2 linked regions of the Elephas maximus indicus genome follow. The protein of the gene in region 2 interacts with the protein of the main gene of each other region in a biochemical or structural test. Links are inferred from orthologs where the notes say so. Each region holds a gene or a part of one and is shown on either strand. Other genes may lie near its edges.

Region 1 (4,233 bases), on a different chromosome or scaffold from region 2:
GCTACCTGGACTTTGGCAAATTATTTAGTACCTCCAAGACTCAGTGTCCAAGTCTGTGAAGTGGGTAGCTCCCAGTAACAACCTTAGAGGGCCAGGGTGCAGACTGAATGAAAGAATGAATGAGTGCTGGCACAAAGTATGTGTTCAATAAAAGTAAGTTACTGTTGTAGCTTTTTAAAAAACAACATTAAGGCCCAAAAAAGACATATTATTATTTTCCTCTTTGTATTATAATTTTGACAGCATAGACATAAGTAATCATATTAACGACAATAGTTTCCATCAACGCGGGGGTTCATTCCTGCCAGTGACTTTATGTTATGGGTATGACCTCATTTAACCCCCATGACTCTGAGGCCTGTGTTCTTATTAGCCCATTTCAAAGATAAGGACACAGGCTAAGCGACATTAAGGAAATATTCTGGTCTTCCCACTCTATCACCACTCTGATACTCACTTGCAGATGGGAAACTGAGGCCCAGAGTGGCAAAAGCCGCAAACCCACTGACTATGACTGACACTGGAAACCCAGGTTTCCTTTTCCTGGCCCGGGGACCGCCATCCCCACGACAGAGTACGGGCAGCTGCAATTTATCTGTCTCGTCCTGATGAAGAATTTTGGACTCGCCCAAGATGAAGAATTTGGACTGGATCGTTAATACTCCTGAGTTTCAAACATTCACTTACAAACTGCCTTTTGAAATAGTTCCGATCTCTCATTAGCTCTCGGTTCCCGCGTCCGCCCCGGCCCTAGGGCAGCAGGGGGAGGGGGTTCCGGGGCTCATCCACGGCTGCCTGTCCCTCCTCGCTCGCCTCAGGCACGGGCCGCGCAGACGCCGCCGGCGCCGCCCGGGGGATGCTCCGCCGAGGCCCCTGCCTTACTCTGCCCCGACGCCCTGCGCGTCACGCCCGGGCCGAGGCCACAGCTCCTCCCGCCGTGGCGGCTGCCCAGCGGTCCGGGCTGCGGCGGTGGCGGGAGGAGGAGCAGGAAAGGCGGCCGGGGGAGGAGGCGGAGGCGGAGGAGGCGGAGGAGGGGCGGGCGGGGCTGGAAGAGTTTAAAGCCCATTGGGGGGGGCGGGGAAGGCAGGCACGGAGGAAGGAAGGCAAAGGAGCTGGAGGCGCGGCGGGCCGGGAGGCGGCCGGCTGGACGGCGAGTGCGCGCCGCGGGCGGGCAGGGGTCGGGCACGGCTCTGGGAGACCAGGCGGTGACCACGCAGGACCGGCGGCGGCGGCGGAGCCAAAGTTTTCGCGCAGTCCTTCGGCGCGGCGCCGGCGCGGGTCCCGACCGGGTGACGGTCCTGCGCGCCTCTCTCAGTCCCCGCGGGGAGACCCAGCGCGGCGTCCGACCGGGCGGGAGTGTCGCCCGCGGCCACGCGGAGGCGGCCGGGGAACGGCGCCCGCAGCAGGTATGGAGCGGCCCCGCCGGCCGCGCGCCGCTGACTTGGGCGGGGAGCGCTGCGGGGAAGTTACTTTGTCGCTTGGTGTCCTCCGCGGGAGGGGCCGGGCTCGCCGGCCGGCCTGCCGGGCCCGGTTCGCCGGGAGCGGCCGGTCGCCGGCATTGTCTGCGCGCTCGCCGGCAGCGGCCAGAGCCGGCGGGCACCCCGGGAGGCGCGGGCGGGGCGGAAGGGCGTCGCCTCCGGGCGGGGGGCTCAGCCGCCCCGGGCCCGAGGCTGGAGGCACCAAGAGGCGGGGACTCGGGATGCGAGCGAGCGCGCTTGGAGCCGGCCGGGCGCTTCGCCCGGGGCTCTCTCCCGACTCCCTTCGCGACCCCTTGGGGGAGGTGTTGAGCGCAAACGGTGCATTCTTGAACCATCTTGTCAGACGCTAGCTGCACTCGCGGTGGGGGTGGGGGCCGAGGCCGCGCTCCCGGGGGGCTGCCCCGGGCTCGGGGAGGGCTAGCCGCGGGGCGCTTCTGCAGCCCCCTCCTTCCAACTGAGGTGGGGGCCGCGACGCTCGTGGCCTGGCCAGCCGCGGGGTCAGCGGTGCACGGGCACTCCCAAGTCCAGAGCGCTGCGCGGCCTGGGACTCCGGCCCGCGGGGAATTTTTTTTTTTTTTTTTTTTTGGCTTTGTTAGTCACCCCGTTACCCCCTTCTGGGCCTAACATCAAGTTGAGGGCTCGCGGATTAGCCGCCGCGCCAGCCGTGGAAATGTGATAAGAGCGATACCGTTTGCAGAAGGAAATTTCTGATGCAATGCTCTGCCTTTTCTGATTGCCTCTCCAAACGCCTGCCTGGTGACGGTACTCAAGCATGTGCGTTATGGAAATTAGGGTATTTACTTTTTATGCGGCTTTTCTTTTTTCGGGATTGGAAGAAACGCTACATTTTTGTTGTTTGCTTTGACTGAAACCTTGGGTAATGTAGAGGAGCCACAGGTGACTTTTACACGGCCCTGAATCTTTAGGATACATTTAAGAAATGTTTTCCTGCAAATGTAGTACCCCGTTTCATTCAAGAGATGCAAAGAAAAGAACCCAAATAAGTAGCGCTCTTGAGTAAATATGCATTATTGCACAACTTTCTCTTTGCTGCTGTTTAAAAGGCCAGGCCCAGAACACTTTGTTTCTGAAAATGCTGATTCAGCCGTTTGGAGCTCCTGAGTTTCAGAAGCGGTGCCGTATTTAACGTTTCGCTCAGTTTTTACCAGGAGGAACACATGTCAGCGCTGCAGCACAGCACTGACCGAGGTGTGGGCCACAGTGCTAGTCAGTTTTCCCAAGTCTTGACCAAGAGTTTCATCTTTTCTTTCTTGGAGGAAAAATAGGTGGGAGCTAGGTTTCTGCAAGAAGAAATTCTGGTCTGTGGCAACGGTGAAATGTCTTTTAGGGGAGTGTGTTGTTCTGTCAAAGCCATGAAACCAAATGTATCTCCAGGAATGCTTCTAGGTGTCTTAGTAGTTCTGTTAAAAATCAAAACTCTAGGATTACTGCACATACTGTTTGAGTTTTACCAGGAGCATTTGAAAGAAGGGGCCACACAGGCCAATCCCTAGATTACAGGGAGGGGATTTGAGGACAGACCAAGTCACACACCCAGCAGCATTGCCTGTGTAACTGAGAAGTGTAGCGACTGACACTGCTGTAGCATTTCAGTTTACAAGGCACTTTCAAAAGCCTTGCTGCTTTTAATCCTTCTACAGCTTCCTGATCCCCATTTTACAGATGTGGAAACCAAGGCTCAGGAGGTTAACGGGTATGCCCAAGGTCCCCAAACAGCAAATGGCAGAGCTGTACCTGAGCCTAAGCCTTGAATTCTTTTTAGTCCTGTGTGTTTTATACTTCTGCACAAGTACATCCTCTCAAAAAGGGTGATGGCAGCAGGGAGGAGGCACACCCCTCAGTCACACGGACAACTAGGAGGACCTGTGACCCTTGTTTAGCCCCCGGCACCAAGCATTCAAGATTTCTGCCCTATTGCCATGCTGCCGTCAATATTTTTTTTTAGCCCATTCACATTGTATACTTAAAAGTTGTTAGCTGCCTTTCAGTTGGCTCCTGACTCATGCAAATGGGAACAAAACGCAGCTTGGTCCTGCTCCTTCTCCATGATCAAGTTGTGGATTGGACCGTTGTGATCCGTAGGGTATTCATTGGCTGATTTTGGAAGTAGGTCGCCAGGCCTTTCTTCCTACTCCATCTTTAGTCTGGAAGCTCCACTGAAATCTGTTCAACACCATAGCAGTACGCAAGGCTCTACTGACAGGTAGTGACTGTGCCTGAAGTGTACTAGCCAGGAATCGAATTCGGGCCTCCTGCATGGAAGGCAAGAATTCTGCCACTAATCAAAATGCCTCACGTACTTAAGTAGGTGTTTATTTTAAGAAGAACCTTTGATATTCATGAAGTCATGGGTTTAATATGATAGTTACGTTTTTTGCGAGTTGTGTACCCCTAAAGTCACCTGTTGGGTATCACTCGTGGTTTGCTGCATTGCTTTTGTGGTAGTGTTTGACTGGTCAAAACACTTGCCATTTTGTGGACTAGGAACCCGGGAGCTGGGCAGATTCATGTCAGTTACTTAGCCAGGGCTTTGTGGTCTGATGGGAGCCACCAGGATTGGAACCCATGGCAGCCCTGGCTCAGTCACAGCAACCGGCTCTGTGTGCCCTCTGCCTTTACTGGAAGAAAAGAGCAGAATCAGAATTTAAGAGCAAACTCAGCAGTTCTTATTTTGATGACTTGGCTGGGTCTGAGACTTTGCAATGTATAGAAACCATACTCTAGCTTGAACAAA
Region 2 (4,233 bases):
TTAAGCGTTTACACCAGCCAGGACTCCTAGATGAACCCCAGGTCTGCATACTGAAAATCAGGCGTGTCCACCTACCCCCAGCCCAGGATCTCCAAGGGCCTGGTCTGTTCTGTCAGGATATTCCGAAACATTCTCCTAGACGCCATTTCTCCAACTACAACTACGAAGCGCGCGGCACACACAGGGCGCCGGGCATGTGACTGTCCCCAGAGGCCCGGCGTGGCTCCCGCCCCTAGACGGGGAGTCCAGGGCACCCCGACTCGGGGGAGGGGGAGATCGGAGTGGCTGGCGCGCTCTAGGCTGGGACTAGGGTGAGGTGAGTGAGGCGCTCCGCTCGTCTACAAAATTTAAGGACGTGCTCCAAACCCAAGTAACCAAGATAAATAATATCTAAATGCAGTATTAACAAAAAATTCCAACGAACAACAACAAAAAATGCACTATGAACAAAATACCGAAGTGCACAAGAAAGACAAAGATGTGTCTCGCTGGGGCGGCCAGGGCGGCCTCACGCTCCGGGACACGAGCCGCTGGCGCGGTCTGGGGAGCCCCGGGGGCCTCCAGAGCCCGGCCGGGCGGGGGGAGGGGGCGGGGCGGGATGGGGCGGGGCCTCCCTCCCTCCCCCCGCCCCCTCCCTCCCTCCGCCCCCCTCCACTCTGCCTGCCTCCCCGGCGCCGAGTCCCTTCCGAGGCGTGATCCGCGCCGCCTTTTCCCGCGGTCCGCGCGGGGCCCAGCTGACGGGCCGCGTTGTTTACGGGCCGAACAGCCTCGCGCCCGCCGCCCGCCAGCCGCCCGCCAGCCCAGGTGCCGCCGCCGCGCGCCCGTCAGTCCGTCCAAGTGTCCGTCTGTCGGTGCGTCCACCGCCTGCGGCCGAGGGCGCGCGGGACCGCCAGCCGGGAGCCGGGGCGCAGCGCGGGCTCCGGGCCCAGGGACCGCGAGCCGGGGCCGGGCCGCGCCGCTGTGTTGGTGGCGCCGAGGCCGCGCGCCCCTCCCGGGCCGTTGCTGGGGCCCTCCCGGGCGGAGGAGGAGGACGCGCGGCCACCGGCGCCTCCCGGGCGGGCGGCCGCTCGGAGCATGACCCTCGCGGTTGGGCGCCGCGCGCTCTGAGCTGCTGGGACCCCGCGCTCCCGCAGTCATGGGCTCCGGGGGCCAGCGGGGGGCGGCGGCCGCGCCGCTGCTGGTGGCCGTGGCCGCGCTGTTGGTGGGCGCCGCCGGCCACCTGTACCCTGGAGAAGGTGAGTCTGGGGCGCGGGGGTGGGCGGGGACATCGCGGCCGACGGCACCCCGCTGTTCAAATGAAGTCCCCGCTAGGGCGCGAGGGCCCGCCCGGGAGCGGGTGGCCCGGACGGTCGCGTCGACCTCGCGGGGGGCGGGAGGCCGCTGACCTTGGCCTTTGCCCGCTCGGGCTCGCGGCTCGGCTCCCCGCGCGCCTGCCCCGGGCCGAGGAACCTTGCCCCAGTGCCCGCCCCGCGGCGGGCGCCTCTCCTGAGTGCGCTCGGACCCACTCCTGCTCCTCCATCCCCACTCCCCCTTCCCCCGGTCCCGACGCGCTCCCGAGGCGGGGCACGCGTCCTCGCTGGGTCGCCTCTGGGAAGTCGGATCCTAAGGTTCGGGCGGCCTCCGACAGCCCAATGCCTGCCTGGCGTGCACACACGGTTGGATGCAACGCAGATAGTGCCGGACTTGGGGGGGGGGGCGGTGTTCTTTGGGGTTCCCGCTGCTGGGTGGCGCTGCCCCTGGGTGGGGAATTGTAGACCCCTCGTCGACTCCCAAGAAGCCCTGGTCGTGCAGTGGTTAAGCGCTCCCTGGTAACCAGAAAGGTTGGCGGTTTGAACCCACCAGCCTCTCCGCGGGAGAAAGATGTGGCCGTCTGCTTCGGTAGAGATTACAGCCTTGTAAACCCTATGGGGCAGTTCTACTCTGTCCTATAGGGTCGCTATGAGTTGAAATCAATTCAAGGGCACATAACAACAACTCCGATTTCCTTGGGATTAAGCTGGTGACCACCACTACGGTCCGCGTTTACACATTTGTGTCCTGCTTCCAGATATCCTGAGCCAAACTCTAGCACCGTGGCAACACCTGCAGCCGTTGTAGTAACAACTAGGGGTGGCATACATCATGGTTGTTATAAATAGTATCACTGTATGCCTGGGGTTGGTCCATCTTATTTCTCTGGACCCTCACAGTGGCCCCTGGAGGCTGATAGTGCTATTCCCCCATTTCACAGAGGCGTAACCTGAGGCTCAGATAGCTCACAGAACTCACCTGCTCCAAAGTCAGTGCCAGAGCTGGGACTTGAACCTCTGTCAGTGGGATTCCAGGTCAAGGCTCTGGTTTGCAATCCCTCGCCCTAGGTCCCCTAAACCCTTCCCACCCCTCAGCTTCACCCTTCATGAGGGTTCTTTCCCTGTTAGCCCTGGGAGTGTCTCTGGCCTTAATGAGCCTCACACTCCCCCTGGCCCCATGGGCTGCCCTAAACCCCTACCCCAGCATCCTCCTTGCTCTGCTTGTGGGCCGGGACTGATATAATTGGGATTTCCCACCATGGGGTCTAAAGCTCTGCTTTAAACATATCTGTTGGGTTACTTCTTCACCTATCTCCATAAAAGGAAATAGATCATGGGTGGGGAAGGGGTTAGAGAGGGAAGTCATAGAAGCTCCTGAGTTCCCTGATGTAAACGAGGTAGATGAGAAAGCATAAGCTTTGAAGGTAACAAACCAAGTTTGCTGAGTGGCTGTGCCACTTGGTTTCTCCGAGACCCTGAGTACCTGGTAGGCATCAGGTCTACCAGGTAGACTGCGAAGAGTCGCAGTTGGTTTGGGTTCTCATTAGGAAAACCCAAGACGAGTGATTAGACCTGTGCCCGGCTTCTTGTATGTGCACGAGTATGAGTGTGTACTTCTGCCTGGGCACGCTTGTGTGTGTGTGTGGCTCCTCGCGCTTCTGTTCCATCTAGCTTTGGTAATTAATTGTGGATCTGTGCCTGGGCTTCCAGGCCTCAGATTTACTGCTGCTTTCTGTATTTACGGAAACCCTGGTGGTGTAGTGGTTAAGTGCTACGGCTGCTAACCAAAGGGACGCCAATTCGAATCCGCCAGGCGCTCCTTGGAAACTCTATGGGGCAGTTCTACTCTGTCCCATAGGGTCGCTATGAGTCGGAATCAACTCGATGGCACTGGGTTTGGTTTTTGGGTTTTTCTGTATTTACAGCTTCCATGAGGTCAGGGGCTTTTTGTCTGTTTTGTTCACTGTTAACATTTCCAGAGCCTAGAACAGTGCCTTGCACATGGCTGTGGTTGTTAGGTGCTGTCCAATCCATTTTAACTCATAGCGACCCCGTGTGAAAGAGTAGAACTGCCCTGTAGGGTTTTCTAGGCTGTAATCTTTACCGGAGTAGAGTGCCAAATCTCTTCTCCTGTGGAGCTGCTGGGTGGCTTCAAACCATCAACCTTTCCGTTAGCAGTTGAGTGCTTAACCGTTACACCAGCAGGACTCCTTTGGCATACAGTAGGTGTTCAGTAAATGTTTCTTTTTGAATGGGGCTAGGAACAGAGCCTCCGAAGGAGCTGCTTGTTCGCCAGATAATACTTAACAGTAAGAGCGGACACTTAGCAGGCGCTGTTCTCTGTGCTGTGCGTATATAACCTGAGTTCATCCTCGGGAAGTTGTTGTTGTTGTTGTTGTTAGTTGCCTTCCATTCGATTTCGACTCATGGTGACTCCATGTGTGCAGAGTAGAACTGCTCCACAGGATTTTCAAGGCTGTGACATTTTGGAAGCAGATCGCCAGACCTGTCTTCTGTGGTACCTCTGAGTGGTTTTGAACTGTCAACCTTTTGGCTGCTAGTTGTAGGGCCTATTATTATCCCTTTTTGCAGATGAGGGGCGCCCTGGTGGTGCAGTGGTAAAGAGCTCCACTGCCAACCAAAAGGTCGGCAGTTCAAATCCACCAGCTGCTCCTTGGAAACTCTATCAGGCAGTTCTTCTCCGTCCTATAGGGTCGCTATGAGTTGGAATGGACTTGGCGGGAACGGGTTTGCTCTTGGCTTAGTTTTGCAGATAAAGACAGCTGCCCAGAGCTCCAGCAGGTGGCACAGTCGAGATTAGAACCCAGAGCGCTAATTTCTTAAGCAAAGATCATTCTTTCAGTAACTAATTCCTGCCATGTGCCTAAGCCTCCCCCAGCCCTACCCTGGGGTAATGTTTAACAGGATTCTATCAAATAGATGA

What was found. The genes of interacting proteins can lie anywhere in the genome.
Region 1: the proteins of INSR (region 2) and GRB10 form a complex in vitro, tested with the Homo sapiens proteins (5 studies listed by BioGRID and IntAct). The link is inferred for Elephas maximus indicus from reciprocal best matches to the Homo sapiens genes INSR and GRB10.

The regions. Positions count from the first base shown.
Region 1 is NC_064826.1:112,569,024-112,573,256, forward strand, and holds the start of GRB10 (growth factor receptor-bound protein 10), read left to right. Parts: upstream 1-1,098; 5' UTR 1,099-1,406; intron 1,407-4,233.
Region 2 is NC_064821.1:11,906,423-11,910,655, reverse strand, and holds the start of INSR (insulin receptor), read left to right. Parts: upstream 1-1,124; 5' UTR 1,125-1,135; coding exon 1,136-1,235; intron 1,236-4,233. UniProt on the Homo sapiens protein: Receptor tyrosine kinase which mediates the pleiotropic actions of insulin.